3 linked regions of the Arabidopsis thaliana genome follow. The protein of the gene in region 1 purifies or fractionates together with the protein of each later gene. This does not show direct contact. Each region holds a gene or a part of one and is shown on either strand. Other genes may lie near its edges.

Region 1 (6,700 bases):
GTCCTGAAGAACATCCTAGATCAGCTATTCCTAAACTCTTTGGTCTTGTCTCTTTGTAGAGTTGTTGAAGTGTCTCTAGTGTTATGTGCTTTGCCGTATCAGATGCTTTCTTCTACAAGATTAAAACAGGAAAAGTGGTTATAGAGAGTCAAAATTATGAACTAAGTGAAGATATGTGGGAAATCTCAAGAACCTACCTGGAGGGAAGAGTTTCTGGCATAACTAGTTTTTCCATCTCCTCCTGTCATGTAAAACTCTCTCTCCATATCCTTCTTATCCATCACAATAACAATAAAAGTGAAGAAATTTAGTATAATTTTGGGTTAGGGTTTGTTCTTTTGGTGTTAGAATTTGCTTTTCTTAAAGGAGAAATCTTTGGCCTGTCACTTCATTCTTCCATTACCCTACCTTTTTTTTTGTGTGTTTACTTTTCCATCTATTTTCTTTCTTGAAAATACGATGTGGGATTCGTTCATCATTGGTCATGATTCAACGAAAATAAATTTTTCTTTGGTTGGATGAATTTAGTTTAAGGAGAAATGGCAGGTGTAGTCCAAAGTGACCAAAAATAGGAATAAACAAAGTAGAGGATAATGTTTCATGTAAATATAAAGGATAAATTAGTCAAACAACATCATGATGGCTTCATGTAATGTTTGTACTTTCTTTACTCTGTTCTTGCTATCAGTGCTAGACTCTGTTCTTGCTTTGCGTGGTGGACTCTATTGCCATTTCTTGTTTAAGGACTTTTATTCGTTTAAACATAAACTAAATTTCATTAGAAAAATTACCCTTGCTAGAATCTATTTGGTGATTTATATGAAAAATCGTGGAATAGAATATGGATGATATTTTTAATTGTAATGTAAATGTTTCAAAACATACAAAAAAGTATAGGAAACTTTGGGAGATAGGAGGAAGAAGACTGATTGACTTTTGAAGGTAGAAAAAGCTATACAAGAATGAGTGATGATGATTGGTGTGTGTGTGTGTGTGACCACCATTTCCTTCTCTTTTTCTCTCTTTCTCCTTACCGTAAGGCTTTTTTAGTAATCTTCTTTCTCTCTCTGCCTTGCCTTCAAGATTTTAGTGGTGGTCATGAATGCTTGTTGCGTCATAAGGGTAGTGTAAATGCTCTGTTAGGTGAGAGAGACTGTGTGTTGGTACTTGGTATGATAAGGTTTTTGTGGTTAGAGAGAGGGCCGAGGGGGACGCACGCGTGTCGCTTGAGGGATTAATGCAAAACCGTAACGTATCAATCTTTTTTCTTCATATAATCTCTTCTTCAACCATGATCGTCTCTCTCTTGTTGCTTACGTTTTGTTTTTTCAAGTGTGGTGAAAAGTTAATCACTTAAAAGTTAGTCATTGGGCCTCTAACAAAGCCCATATTTAAAACCTAAGACCGTTCCATTAAAATGACGTCGTATCTAAGCAACTAATTCGTGAGATGTAAATATGAATATGATATGATACTATGGTTGAACAGAATAGGAATAATATATGTATAGTGTAATGTAAATGCTACAAAATATTACAGAAAAAGTAGGGGGAACTTTGGGGTCGAATATGATTACAAGAAGGTTAGAAAAAAGCTAAACAAGAATGAGTGGTGATGATTGGTGTGTGTGACCACCATTTTCCTCTTTCTGTCTCTTCCTTACCTTTAGGCTTTAGTACTCTTTCTTTCTCTCTTTGCATTGTCCTTTAAGACTTTAGTGGTGGTGATGAATGCTTACTAGTGACTGTGTCACAGTGTGTGCTGTTGAAACATTGGGCCTCTAGGCCCATATCTAACACTTAAACGGCGTCGTATCGATGAACCAACACACAGATCTGGGCCCAGGATTCTACTGACGTATTACGAACATAGACAGATCCGCTCGTCTTCTTCTTTTACTTTTTTTTTTTTCTCTCTGAAATTGATTTTTTTTTTTTGCCGTCTGCGTTATCAAAAATCTCGAAAAAACGTTGAAAGTCAATCTTTTTGCATCGCCGAATTTGAACAACACTCCTCGTGTGTTTGACACTCTTGTGGGCACGATACCTTCTGCTCCTTGTCCATTTTGCCACCCAAAATCCAATTGGGATCAGGTAACGTTCCTCGTTTATTTGTCGGATCTATTTGTAATCATATATACTTTCTTAATCTGTTCTCCGAGATTTCGATTTCTCGTTGCTCAGTGATCCGATGCCAGATCTTTCCTGATAGTTTTTTTTTGGGTCGAATTTGGATTCAAAATTGCCACTTTTTGTTGTGAATTTTGAAAATTTGTAATACTAATTGAAGATTGGGTTTTGTAGGTTTTCCCAAAGTTGAGCTAGCTTCTCTTATGCTCGATTCGTCGAGCAAATTAATACTATAGAAGAAAAAAGTACAGAGCTTTATTAAAGCAAATTAGCAATGGCTTCGAATCTCGTGGAAATGTTTAATGCTGCTTTGAATTGGGTTACTATGATTCTGGAGAGTCCTTCAGCTAGAGTTGTCTTGTTTGGTGTCCCAATCCGAGGTATAGATTTGAAGAAACAACTTTAAGTGAACTTTGTCTGTCTATCCAAGTTTGTTGGTTATTTGAGATTACTAAAGATTTCAACTTTTTTGTTTTTGTTTTCGTTTTCCAGGGCACTTCTTTGTGGAAGGGTTGTTGGGTGTTGTCATTATCATTCTCCTCACTCGGAAGAGTTATAAACCTCCCAAGCGACCATTGACCGAGCAGGTTCTGTCTCAGATCCTTTCTTGATATTGGTTTGATAGATCACATAGGATTTGGTTCGTGGTGACATCTTTGATGTGTGGTATAGTTGAAATGTATTGAGTTTTCGGGGTTTTTTATTACTCAGGAAATAGATGAGTTGTGTGATGAGTGGGTTCCTGAACCTCTTATACCGCCAATTACTGAAGACATGAAGCATGAGCCACCAGTTCTTGAAAGGTAACGTAGAAGACTTCTATGTAGTTCGTTGTATAGCCTTATTCTGTGTTATGCTTAAAGATTTTGTTGGGTCCATACAGTGCTGCTGGACCGCATACAACAGTTAATGGAAAAGATGTGGTGAATTTTGCCTCAGCTAATTATCTTGGGCTCATTGGCCACGAGAAGTTGCTGGTAACGTGAAGCTACTTTGTTTTCAATACAATCTCTCTTCTGTTTGAATAGTTTTATTTAAGATTTGTCTTATGCCAGGAATCATGTACTTCTGCATTAGAAAAATATGGGGTCGGTTCTTGTGGGCCTCGTGGATTCTATGGTACAATTGGTAAGAAGACAATAATTTTCTAAATAGATACTTTGGTTCATCCATTGGCTCGCTTGGAAAGGGTTCTTACTGTTTGATTACTTCTCTTGACTAGATGTCCACCTTGACTGCGAAACCAGAATATCCAAATTTTTGGGTACTCCTGATTCAATCCTTTACTCTTATGGACTTTCCACAATGTTCAGCACAATTCCTTGTTTCTGTAAGAAAGGCGATGTCATTGTTGCGTAAGTACACAATTTCTTATAACATCGTTCTACTTATTAGATTACGTTAGTAGAAATCCCAGGATTACATTGAACATCTTTGTTTGAAACTTTTTTATCTCGATATTAAACTCATTCTTGTCTTTTCTATTTTCTTAGTGATGAGGGTGTTCACTGGGGAATACAAAATGGACTTCAGCTTTCAAGAAGTACAATTGTGTACTTCAAGCACAATGACATGGAATCCCTTCGAATTACCCTTGAGAAAATCATGACAAAGTACAAGCGCTCAAAGAACTTGAGGCGTTATATTGTAGCTGAAGCTGTATATCAAGTACCTGGCAGTTTTCTTTCTTCTCCTGCTTCCATATTTTGAAAATTCTCCCTGAACTGTGATGCTTACCCATTTGCCTTTGGGTATGTTAAAATCTACAGAATTCAGGTCAAATTGCGCCTCTGGATGAGATTGTAAAACTAAAAGAGAAGTATCGGTTTCGTGTTATATTGGATGAAAGCAACTCTTTTGGTGTGCTTGGCCGTTCTGGGAGAGGTCTTGCAGAGCATCATAGTGTCCCTGTAAGTATGATTGACACACATTTTAGTAGTGTTCTCATTTGCCAAACCTGATGCTAAAAATTTCACGGCGGTTTATCTTTAAACAGATTGAGAAGATAGATGTTGTGACTGCTGCAATGGGCCATGCATTAGCCACAGAAGGTGGATTTTGCACTGGGAATGCCCGCATCATCGATTACCAGGTAAACATCGATCATGCTGATTAACTAATTACAAACAAAATTAAAAAACTACCGATAATAGAAACTTTTCTCTGGGACGCTCAAATGCACAGAGACTTAGCAGTTCAGGATATGTGTTCTCTGCTTCTTTACCACCATACCTTGCAAGTGCTGCTATCACCGCCATTGATGTCATTGATCAAAACCCTGATATGTTAGTTAAGCTGAAGCAAAATGTTGCTCTGTTATGGAAAGGTTTGATCTTCAAGTTTTAATCTAATCTAGCAACAATTAGAGTTTGATTTAGTTTGTTATCTTCCTCTAATTGAAAAAGAAATGCTGGGAACAACGCAGGATTGTCAGATATCAAGGGGATGTCATTAACAAGCAACCGGGAATCACCTATTGTTTTCTTAAAATTAGAGAAATCTAGCGGTTCAGCTAAAGATGATTTGCTTCTACTTGAGAAAATGGCTGACCGTGTAAGTTCATTGTTTCTTTGCAAAACCAAATCTAGACCCTGTCCCCGTTTCTTGACATGACTAGATGCATGCAGGCTCTGAAGGAAGACTCATTGTTGGTTGTGAGTTCTAAAAGATCATTTCTTGATAAATGCCGGTTACCTGTGGGAATCAAACTCTACGTCTCAGCGGGACATTCGGAATCCGATCTTCTTAAAGCGTCGGAGTCACTGAAGAGACTTGCTTCAGAGCTTCTACTCAAGTCCTGAAACACCGAAACTCTTTTTTCTTCAAGAACAACAACACTGAAGGGAACTCTTTGAACACATCCGTGTGAGATAGTAGACAACAGAATCCGCAGAGTCAGTAGCTTGAAGATGTTCATAGCAGATTCCTAAACTGGTTCTCCACTTTCAGTGATGGGCTTGTGGTTGATCTGAAGCTCAATTGACGAAGGAGGATTATCGAAGACAATGGCTTCTTGTTCTTACATTTATTTCATTTGATCATCTGAGTTCTTTTTTTTTTTTTCCTACTCATACCCTTCAATGATCAAGTAGCTTAGTGTTGTTGCCGAAATTCAAAAACTTTCAATTTATGGGAAACAAAAAAGTTCATGTGCTGACATCAGCCTCTTAAGGCTTTCTGAGTTTCTTGCGGTAAAAGAAAGTGTTTTTGCCTCTCTCAAATCTCAATAGTATTGACACGTGTCAGTATAACACTCGTGCATAATTGACACGTGTCAGTATAACACTCGTGGGCGGTATAATGTGAACGAAAGAGCGAGGGACAGGTAATCTCTCTTCCTCTGTTTCTAAGTTTGTATAATTAGAACTGCATAACGAAAAACAAAAACAAAACAGTGACCAAAAAAAGAAGAAGAATCAATGGTTGGGGAAAGAGAGAATATGAGGTGGAGCTTTACCTCGACGTTAATGGAGTTGAGAATCCAATGGAACGATTTTGAGAGATTTTCGGAGCAATCTCACTCTCCTTTTATCTTTCTCCTTCCTCTCATTTCCTCTTTGCAGAGGTAATTTATCTTTTAATTGTCTCTCTGTTTTGTTCTGTTTTCTTAACTTCATGTTCATCGTTATCGTTGTTCGAATTTGATTTGTAATTAGGGAATGTGAATTTCTTACAGGAATTTGGCAAAGGGCATTGGCTAAAAATAATAAGACACTCGTTAGAGTGCTCGTCCCTCGTGCCCTTACCTGCCTAATTCCAACTATCTGGCAAAATCATGACTTTGATCCAAGGTATAGTAAACAAAAATGAAGAGATTTTTTAGTTCTCTGTTTTGTTATCTTCTTGTTCTTGATGTTGTTTTGTGTTTAGATGCCGAGTTGAAACCAAGGATGGGTTCTTTTAAGAAGAGGAGCTCTTCTAAGAATTTGAGGTATTCAATGACAAAGAGAAGAAGAAGTAGCAAAGTGATGTCTGTGGAGATCATCGAAGATGTGCATGACGCAGAGGAGTTGAAAGCCGTTGATGCTTTTCGCCAATCGCTTATTCTCGATGAGCTACTCCCGGAGAAACACGATGACTACCATATGATGCTTAGATTTTTGAAGGCTAGAAAATTTGATCTTGAGAAAACCAAACAGATGTGGACTGAAATGCTTAGATGGAGGAAAGAATTTGGTGCTGATACTGTCATGGAGGTATGATTATTATTCTAGAGGAACGTTTTGCAGATTTGAAAATGGTCTCTTTGAGTAGTACTAACATTCTCTTCTTTGGTTTTGTATATTTTTAAGGAGTTTGATTTCAAGGAAATTGATGAAGTGTTGAAATACTACCCTCAAGGACACCATGGAGTTGACAAGGAAGGACGACCTGTGTACATTGAGAGGCTTGGTTTAGTAGATTCTACCAAGTTGATGCAAGTCACAACCATGGATAGGTATGTCAACTACCATGTTATGGAGTTTGAGAGGACCTTCAATGTTAAGTTCCCAGCGTGCTCTATCGCCGCGAAGAAGCACATTGATCAGAGCACAACTATTCTTGATGTCCAAGGAGTGGTATGTAAAAAA
Region 2 (4,587 bases), on another chromosome or scaffold:
GCCAAAAGAGATGACTTGTGCAGGAGGCAAGTCAAGCTTTGAAGTTGCGAATTTCATACAGGGAGAACTTGCTAGGGTTTTGGGATTTGAATGCACTAATCTCACAAGGAGGGATAAGTACTTGGTTCTTGCTGGAAATGAAGGCATTGTCAGATAAACTATTCCGAATTTTCATTAGTTTTTTTGTTTGTTTGAAAAGCTAAATATTATTGTTATTTCAGGACTTAGATGTTTAATTCTATATGGTTGATTCATTGGCATCATTTCTATTTCTTATCACTCGGGACCATTGATATGTATTGAAAATGTTTGCTTTATATGATTTTGTTTCTGGATTTGTATAGTCCATAATCTCAACCTGTCGCTTTAGTGCCATTAATTTTATTCCTAGAACAAATGAAATGATTTCAGAGTTAGTTGAAATCAATATTAATTGTATACATCTAATCTAATAGTATGTTATTCACTTATTATTTACTTAATGATGCTCCTAAGTATTGATATCACATTAATAATCATGATCCCATATCACAACAACATTAACGTGAACGACCATATTAACTTCATATCACATCAAAATTTAATGTATCACCTTAGAAGATATTAATATTCACACCAAGAAAATGACTATACCTGTCTAAACAGAATGATTAAAGAAAGGAAAATTGCTAGATTAACTTTTCATACCAAGAGTGGCTTCCTTTCTTTAGTTCACTGCGCTGGTAAGTAATGCTTGAAGCACACTAACTGATGTTTGCCTCTTTGCAAATGATATTTGCGATTCTACACAAGCAAAACAAAACTTAATGGACTGAGTAATTCTGCAGTGTTAGAAGTAAAACTTAGTGATGCTTTGAATGCATTACCTTTCCCTCACACGACGAATCTCTTCAAGAATTTCTGCAGTCTGCTGAACCTTAAGATTCTTGGGTTTATCTTCATGATTAAGCACCAAGGATGCAACATTTACAACAGTAACTAGTTCAGCTTCGATTCTGCTAAGTTTCTGGTCTAAATTTTCCAAGAAAGATTCATAAGAAGACACTTCTTTCAGGATGCTACCTATTGAAACATCTTCTAGTACATTATTATTGGTATCAAGAAGTTCTTGGTAATCCTCAACATTCCTTTCAATAAGTTGAATTCCCTCAGAATCCAAGTGAGTGTGGTCATTTTCGACCCCGTCTTCAGTAGATTCGGGCTTTGGCGATACAATGTGGATACCACCTGAAGTATTCTCTCCATCCTCTTCGAGATCCAAAGATATATTGCCTATCAGCTGTGTTTCCTTGACAGATATTGCCTGAAACCAAACCAAGCTTTCAAGACATAGTTAGATAGATTTCTGGGGCAATTGAAAACAAACAAACAACCAAAACAATAACATTTCTTAACAAGTAAGAGTATTGTTTGTTTGTACCTCGTTAAGTTTGGAAGAAAGCGTATCGAGCAACTCGATACGAGCTTTAGCCTTGTCCAAAGCTTGCATAACTTTTTTCTTCTGAAGAAGTAGATCTCTGGCATCATTCTCTTTCCCTGTTCGAACATTGACAGCTGCTTGTTCCCGTAGATTCTCTGCAGCCTCAGATAATCTCAAAAGTCTCAACCTATTACTGTTTGCTGGACCAACAACAACAAAGACCAAAAATAAATCAAATTGACATCATCAATCACTGGATTCACAAGCAGTAAAACCATGCTGAAACCAGCACCTCATCTTTCCAAAGTCTACGACTTTGAAATCACACATTAAAACGAAGATTAGCGAATAAAGATTCCACCTTTGGCACGAGTGGACTCTGCCTCCGCGTGAAGCCGATCAAGCTGGGAGCGAAGAAGGTCAGAATTTGCGGTGGCAGAGAAGCATCTCAGGCTCGTTGGAATCCTCCGAGACTGAGCAATCACCACCGGAACTCCGCCGATGGTCGTCGTCACCATGTTTGGTCTTCTTACAAAGCGCACACGTTCTGTGACATTGCAGTCTCCGTTATCCGGTTAGTTCTACAAACCGATTTTGAATACCTGGTTCATCTAAACCGGTAATTAAGACTAAACCGGGGTGGGAAAATGAATTGAGGATGAGATTAGTATTTACCGTGACAGAGTTTTCCAACTTTGACGTCTCCGTCAAAATTTGATTTCTCTTCTGTATTTGACGACGACACTTCAATCAAAATCTGGAGTCAGATACAGTTCCCTAGATCGAGAATCTCCAGGCGCTTTGTAATCCTGTTTAGTATATCTTTGTCAAGTTCTCTGTCAGAGATTTACCGGGTAAATTTTGAATCTTGGATCAGGTTTTTGTCAATTTCAGATTTGTAATCTCCCGCTTCTTACTGTAGGAATCGATCAGAAGATATGAACTGGGTTCAACGCAAAATCTACCTTTATAATGTCACATTCGGGCTCTACATGCTTGATTGGTGGGAACGATACCTCTTCAGTATCCTTTTTTCCTCACTCTATCCCTCCATGCTTCATTCGTTCTCTCCATCGATTTTGGTTTATCTGTGCTCCAATTTCGATTTACCCTTTCATTAGAAAGATGCAAGTTTTGATTTTTACATCTTTGGTGATATATGGTGGCATTGTGTTCTGTTCTCTTGTGTTGTCGTCTTAAGCATTGTGTCTGTTCAATTTTAGAATTTTGTTTTTAAAAAGCTACTTTCTTAAAATTTTGTCTTCAACTTCAGAGTTTGGATTATAGTCTCTACTGAATAATATACTGTCAATTGAGATAATTTTTTGCTAGTTTACAAGGACTTAAGATCTTTGCTTGCATCTTCTTTGCCTTTCCTCAACTCTTTTCAGATTCTTTGGTGGTTGTTTTGATGTGGTTCGTTTTATACAACGGTACTCGCTACTTTTCGGAGCTTTTCCAGAGGTAAAACACTTGATGATGCTCTTTGCGCACACCTTAAGCTTGTTAAGGTTTCCTTGACACTAATTTTGCTATTGTTGTAACAATTTTTGGTACTTATCTAGTTCTTTTTGCTACTTTGGTCTTATGGTTTCATTAGCGGGTTTCTAAGTGATGAGTGTTATGATACAATATGCTGTTTGGCCTCATCTTCATCTCTGAAACAAGTTTCACGGTTTCCCATGATTCGTAGTATATGTTTTCACAAAAGGATAAGTCCATCATTTACTTAAACATTATCCTACCTTCTCTTGTGCATTTAGTTAGGGTAGATATTAAGCCTCCCCAGAAGGTGATTGGATTGGAGTTAGAGAAGTCTTTAGTTTGCCTGATGGACTTACTGCTGCTGCTTGCTATCTGAATCTTATTATGCTGATTGTTCGAAACTTTTGAGAAGCAATTGAAGCTCTTTCATGATAATTTCTTGTATCCTCGCATTGCAGGCATTTGACATGAAAACATGTCTTGTTTCTCGCACAGTAGAGCACGAAAAGCCTAGATCATCCAAAGGCATGTACGTTTGGTTCCAATTTCTGAGACGTATACCAGCAAAAATCCCTCTTTCGGCGTCACCTCTGTTTTTGTTAATTTTCCTCCAAAGGCTCTAGGACAGTTCTTATGTCTCTATATTATTTGTTCCCATGTTTTTGCAATTAACAGAAATGATTTTGTAGACTCGTAAGATCGCAAGTCTTCCTGTTGTATTTCCAGTTCACTTAGAGACATAATAACATAGTTGCAGGAGTTAATGAACTTGCGGATTACATATAACAGAGCATAATTTTTAAGAGGGAGCTCTGTTCTAAATCTACAAACGAACTTAGGAAGAATCAGGGGTAACCCAATCCTTTGGCATTGCAGAGTTGAAGATCTGAAACAGCAAAGCTTGATCTCTCTTGCCTGGTCTTTTTGAACCAAATCCTTGATGCAGACCAAGTTCAACCGCTTCTCTTCCTTCTTCCGCTATTCTTTTCCTAATAGCTACCAAAGAATTTTGCGTCTCATCACAAGCTGCTACATGTCCATTTTCAGTGTTCTCTCCTCCACCATCTTCTCGTCCGCCTTTCTCTGCCCTTCCCCACCATTTGTTTGACACAGTTGTTAACCCGCCTGATGGGAATCCAAATTTGAACTCATCTACAGCTGCCACTGTCTTTGCCAAGTTAGTATTAGCCCATACATTTGACTTGCCACTCTTGTTTCCCCCATGCTGCACCGTCGAATGCATCATCGTGTGTGTGTCCTCGGGTTCAGATTATGTTACGAACCACTGTAATTAAAAGAATCATGAATCAAAGGGAAAGAAAAACGATACTAGTAAGCACCAGTTTTAACCATTATATCAAGAAGAAGACTTGAATGTTTTCTTTTTGAACAAAACCAAACCACACAGAGAAGAGGGTCTCGCAAATATCAACAGTACAAAGACATAATACAGGAACGTTGCTACATCTGTGAATTAGACCCAGAAGCCTCTAGAATCAAAACATAGAGGCTCAATACTTCCTGGAATCAATGTGTAAGGAACTAGATCTGGAATTAGACAGCCTAGATAACAGTTCCCTAAACGACTCAAACGTTATGAATTTCAGAAAAGTCCAGACCTTTTCCAATTTTCATCTGTATAACATACCCAATTGTGGCACTAAAACCCTAATTTCATGCGT
Region 3 (5,003 bases), on another chromosome or scaffold:
GCGACTTCAGAGTTACAATCAGAAACAGATGAAACCTCCTCACGAGCATCAGAAAACCAATCTTCCTCTTCCTCGTTCCCTCGAGTACCCATCTCACAGCTTCTGATCAAAAACACACAGATTTCGTCAGAATTCACAAAGTCAAATATCGGACACAATTGCTGAAAAAGGACAGAAATTTGCAACCATGGTTCGAATAAAACTAATCCACACGTAACACCAAAAGGAAGTAGTAAGATAAACTCATGGCAAATCAATACCATCGGCAAAAAGGAGATTACTTAAGGGTAAAGCAAAGAACCCAACAGAGAAAACGAAGAGTTTATGAGAGATTTACTTACATCTTCACCAAAATCAAACCGGGTTTGAATCAAAATTCTGCTCTTTCTTATAAATAGTCTTTGTCTGGTCAAAATGATTGCATCGAAACGAATGAGTTTAAAACTCTTATCCAAACATTGCGACGATTCGGGTCACGTTTCTTAAAGTCGCAAATCCTTGCGAAGGTTTTTATAAACAAAAGGTTGGGTTTTGAAAGAAAGATATTGGAGAGGGTTTAAGAGCGAGATATTCGGAAATTGAGAGGTTTTGTTTCTTCGATTGTACGAAGAAGAAGAAGAAGAAGAGAGGAAGAGAGAAACAAATAAAACAGAACAAAGATCCTTTCCTTCTTCTTTTGTCTTTTTCTTCTCTCTTGTTTTTTTATTTATTAAAAAACTAATTTTGAAATAGTCAAACATTTGTTTGCACTTACTTAGTCAACATGAATATTCTAATCCCACTTTTATTTCAATAATCATATGTTGATTTGTCTTTCTTTAATGTATTTTTACTTTTCTTCTCTTGATTTGAGATAAACGACATTATACTACATCTTAATTTAAGAAAAATTGATCTTTCCCATTATTTTTTTTTGTTTTTCCACGTTTTGATTTGGTCATTGTTTGTTTTAGTTATTTGCCTATTGATAGATGAACAAATTCTAGTCTTTTTTGTGTGAGTCAATATCGATATATGTTACCCACCTATTCACTAAACAATTAGGAACAAGGTGATAACTCAGGGTACAAATGGACAAATTGTTTTTAAAAATTCCCTATTGTTTTTAATTTGGTTTAATGTCATCTAATTATTCATTTACACACTAACAGTAAATTTGAATATAAAAAAAAAATATTGTTTTCAGGTGGTGGGAACACGATTTTGTCAATTTCCCTTTTGAGCTCAATACATTACCTCACGTGTGCTAAAATGTCTTTACCCTTGTCACTAACGTAATTCACCAACAACAACAAAATCATCGGATTTAGTTATAAAGATGATATATATATATATATCAAAAACGGTATATATAAATAAATCTTCCCCAACTATTCATTCAAACCCTAGATTGCTCGCTAAACAACTTTCTGTTGTAACCAGTTTTGGGATTATACAAATAAGAAACTAAGAGAACCACAAAAGAGATCAAATATGAATTGATTAGAAGCCCCAAACAAAGAGTAGAAAGGTTTGAATATGCGATGATGGGATGTGACCAAATAACACATTTTCTCCGGTTAAGGGATTCAATGTCTGTATAGTACAGACATGTTGAATGATGATGATGGCATTTGTTGTTGGATTCCACATTCCAAATACTCTGATTCGCATTATACACAGACCTTTTTCTTTGTTTTCTCAAGTTTTTTCATTGGTCTCCATTGATTCCAAATATGCGGACCTTGTGCATGTGCGGGAATTTCGCAACCACCATGACAAATACAGCCAGTGTGTTGAGAAAGAGCATCGGGTGCTGATAGTCTGTTGTGTGAGAGGCTATCAAGTACCTACATACAAAGTTTGGTCAGACTTTTATGTCACAAAGATCCAATCATTGATTACATATTCGTCACACACAACACAATTGAGGTATTCCACTACACATAATCTAGTAGTGCTTCTTTTAAGAGAGATTCAGCAAACTCATAACAGACCTTATGTCTTGTACGAATGTCTAAATCTAAATCTAAATCCAAGGCTCTTGAGCACTAGCTAAAAGACCTTAATAATCAAGCGAGTTTAATCATAGTAGGAAACTTAGGTCCAACCCTAATCAGTGAACAGATTTGAAGCACTAGTCAACAAACAGAAATCAAAATGAGAAGAACGGTAGTGTCTTGACTCTTGTGTATCTGATTGTCATGTCAAAATGTATTCTGTGTAGTAATAATTGCAAATCAAATTGTCAAAACAACCACTTCACCTAGGAATAGAATTGTAATTAAGCTCATTGACTAGCATCTCTATATAACCAGATGTAAAATGAGCTACAATAAGATAAAGAACAAGTAGGTAGGGAAACGAAGATCAATGTATCTCTAAAACATAACTTAAGCAAAAATTACACCAAATACAGAAACAATCATAGAAAATAAGGTAAGGCATTCAATTTTTCGATACTGAACAAGATCAACAAGAGATGATGATGCAAAACAAAATCCTAATGAGATATGAGAGAAGGAACTTACAAGACAACAGGAACAACGGTGAGAAATTTGCGATTACGTGTAAGCTGCTTGCCATTATCAATCTGTTCCCACCAAGTCAATCTATTATAGACTCCTTGATCATCTCCAAATGGTGTTCCCTTCTTCCAATGGAAGGAATGATACGTGACCTAGAAAACAAAAAAACTCAAAAATTCAAATCTAGAAACCAACAATTTCGAAATTGGATCGGAGGAGATCGGGAATAATACGGTGAAATGAGCGAGATGAACAATGGTCCAAGCGATGCCAGGAGAACAATGGAAGACGGAGAGAACGAGGAGCCAAGAGAAGAAGAGGATGAGAATATAAGTAGTCCAAACACCAGGATATGTGAACCACTCTGTGTTCCGATTCACATCCGTCGTCGGAAGTGCTCTTACGTACATCGTCTTTTTCACCGGAGGGATTTGGAAGAAGATCGGAGATGATGATTGATGAATCGTCGTTGAGCAAGTTTTCTTTCTTCTTTGTTTTTTTTTTCTCTGCTGCGTTCTTTGGGCTCTTTCTGGGCTTTTTATTTTCTACAATTTTTTTAAAAAGAAGCATTAAATTAAAATAGGAAGGTGGTTGGGTGGCTCACCGATCTTAGCCTAAAACAATGATTATCAGTAACTCTGTCTCAAGACTCTCAACGCGTCACTCGATAAACCACGACGACTCATATTTTTAATTTATTGGACTTTTCTTGTCAGCTTACATAGAGGCCCATTACAAAACACACCGGTTTTCCGACCCGACCCGTACCTTTTCATCCGATAATTTAATTTACATTTTCAAAATATGTTCTGAAGTTAATTCTTGACCATATTAGTAAGAGTTATTTCATTTTATTTTTGAACAAATTTTAGCTGCCAAATTTCGAAATCCTTTTTTTTTTGCTACCAAATTTTCCATCCAGTGCTTCCGTGAAAAATATTTCGAATAAAATACCATTTTAAAAAACATCTTCGAATAAATATCTAAAATTATCAGTTTTTTGTTCTTCTCATATTTTCAACTTGATGAGGATTAGATTTAGATTCACCTAATGATTACAATAAACACGATTAAGCCTCGTTGGTTTTTTAAGACAAACTTACAATTTTTTTGTTTTTTCTTTTCTTCATCACACACTCTGTCTCACCAACTTATTCAATAAAAGCAATTGGACTTTTAACACAAAATATATTATTCAACGACAAAATGATTTCGTATTAATGCTATACTATCCAAGGTTCATTAAATTTGAACTAGCTATATCTTTTTATTAAACTTATAGAATTTAGATTCCACAATTTCTTGATTTCCATGCACAGAAAAAAAACTTTAAATAGATTACTATTCCCTCTAATTAAAATATAAGATGTTATAAAAGTTTATCTTTTAAATATTAAAAAATATTTTGTTAGTTTCTATGAAAATTAAATGTATTTGATAATTTGTGATCATTTATATTCTGCAGTTTTTTCTTATGATTAGTTAAAATTTTTAATTCTATAAATAATATTTTTTAGAAAGAATGATCTTAATATGTGTGATTGTTTTAAACATTTTATATTTTGAAACAAAGGAAATAACATCGTATTTCTGAGGATTTACATAATGTTTTTTTTTTGGTGCACCTAGCATAATGTTTTATTAGTAGAAATTATTCATAACCTGAAACATGTAATTGCATAAATGGCCTAAAGTCAGCTGAAATAAAATGAAAACAGAGGATACATAATTAGTAGAATAATCTCAAATATAAGAGAAAGTGCGTTAGTTGATAAAGACAGATAATTTGACTTTCCGATTTATTTGGCCGCCAACCTTTTTTTGTTTTGTTCTTCCTAAATTCCCTTTCTCCGAAATTCCTTTCATTGATTTCATCATCATCATCATCCTTCGTTTTTTCTCTATCGATCTAGCAGATTCTTTCGGGGACCAAAATCAAAATCATGGTGGATCATCAATGGAAGGATTTAATCGGATAAAAGAGAAGAGACGGAATCACGACGGGAGAAGAGATCGGGAAATCGGAAAATCGGAGATGATGGGGATTTCTTTCGCCGCCAAACTCCGTTTCCGATCTCGATTTCGAACTTCTTCAATCGATTCTTATTGCTTCGCTCGTGAGGCTTTCTCCGATTGTATCTCCTCCGTCCATTTCTTCTTCTTATAACCTTTTTCTTTGTAATAACCTCCGTCCTCTTCAGCTTTCTTTCTTTTCATCTTCAATCTCACCTTAAATTCTCCACTTTTTTCTTCTTCTCCTTCTGTTCTCGATTGCTTTGTTTGTTGTGTTGTGCATACATATATGGCTTCTGGTTCTGGATTTTTAGGTCAGATATCGTCCATGGAAGAGGCTGATTTTGCCGAGAAAGATCCTTCTGGCCGTTACATCAGGGTACGTCACTGTCTTCGTTGATTCATGTGTGAATTTGCATTCAATCTCGTTTGGTTGAGTGTTTTTTATTGTTGAATTATGAGGAAATTGATCAGAATTTGAGA

The links.
Region 2: the proteins of LCB1 (region 1) and AT1G06515 purify together in Arabidopsis thaliana (affinity purification with western blotting, with the first as the bait; one study listed by BioGRID). This does not show direct contact.
Region 3: the proteins of LCB1 (region 1) and AT5G42000 purify together in Arabidopsis thaliana (affinity purification with western blotting, with the first as the bait; one study listed by BioGRID). This does not show direct contact.

What each region holds. Positions count from the first base shown.
Region 1 is NC_003075.7:17,216,195-17,222,894, forward strand, and holds LCB1 (long-chain base1), read left to right. Parts: upstream 1-1,714; 5' UTR 1,715-2,093; intron 2,094-2,113; exon of another isoform or gene 2,114-2,222; intron 2,223-2,303; 5' UTR 2,304-2,403; coding exon 2,404-2,509; intron 2,510-2,621; coding exon 2,622-2,716; intron 2,717-2,840; coding exon 2,841-2,932; intron 2,933-3,012; coding exon 3,013-3,106; intron 3,107-3,184; coding exon 3,185-3,257; intron 3,258-3,351; coding exon 3,352-3,484; intron 3,485-3,622; coding exon 3,623-3,797; intron 3,798-3,898; coding exon 3,899-4,039; intron 4,040-4,125; coding exon 4,126-4,221; coding exon of another isoform or gene 4,222-4,245; exon of another isoform or gene 4,246-4,313; coding exon 4,314-4,455; intron 4,456-4,554; coding exon 4,555-4,682; intron 4,683-4,756; coding exon 4,757-4,930; 3' UTR 4,931-5,431; downstream 5,432-6,700. Other genes in the region: AT4G36470 (S-adenosyl-L-methionine-dependent methyltransferases superfamily protein), read right to left, coding at 1-112, 198-281; SFH12 (SEC14-like 12), read left to right, coding at 5,905-5,920, 6,000-6,325, 6,422-6,688. UniProt on the Arabidopsis thaliana protein: Component of serine palmitoyltransferase (SPT), which catalyzes the committed step in the synthesis of sphingolipids, the condensation of serine with palmitoyl CoA to form the long chain base 3-ketosphinganine.
Region 2 is NC_003070.9:1,989,740-1,994,326, reverse strand, and holds AT1G06515 (transmembrane protein, putative (DUF3317)), read left to right. Parts: upstream 1-2,098; 5' UTR 2,099-2,274; intron 2,275-2,342; 5' UTR 2,343-2,358; coding exon 2,359-2,443; exon of another isoform or gene 2,444-2,740; intron 2,741-2,811; coding exon 2,812-2,884; intron 2,885-3,363; coding exon 3,364-3,376; 3' UTR 3,377-3,693; downstream 3,694-4,587. Other genes in the region: GPAT1 (glycerol-3-phosphate acyltransferase 1), read left to right, coding at 1-157; AT1G06510 (forkhead-associated domain protein), read right to left, coding at 744-783, 867-1,303, 1,421-1,620, 1,782-1,938; AT1G06500 (uncharacterized protein), read right to left, coding at 3,741-4,151.
Region 3 is NC_003076.8:16,797,369-16,802,371, reverse strand, and holds AT5G42000 (ORMDL family protein), read right to left. Parts: upstream 3,155-5,003; 5' UTR 2,918-3,154; coding exon 2,741-2,917; intron 2,660-2,740; coding exon 2,511-2,659; coding exon of another isoform or gene 2,507-2,510; exon of another isoform or gene 1,830-2,506; coding exon 1,691-1,829; 3' UTR 1,270-1,690; downstream 1-1,269. Other genes in the region: AT5G42010 (Transducin/WD40 repeat-like superfamily protein), read right to left, coding at 1-92; WNK8 (with no lysine (K) kinase 8), read left to right, coding at 4,810-4,899.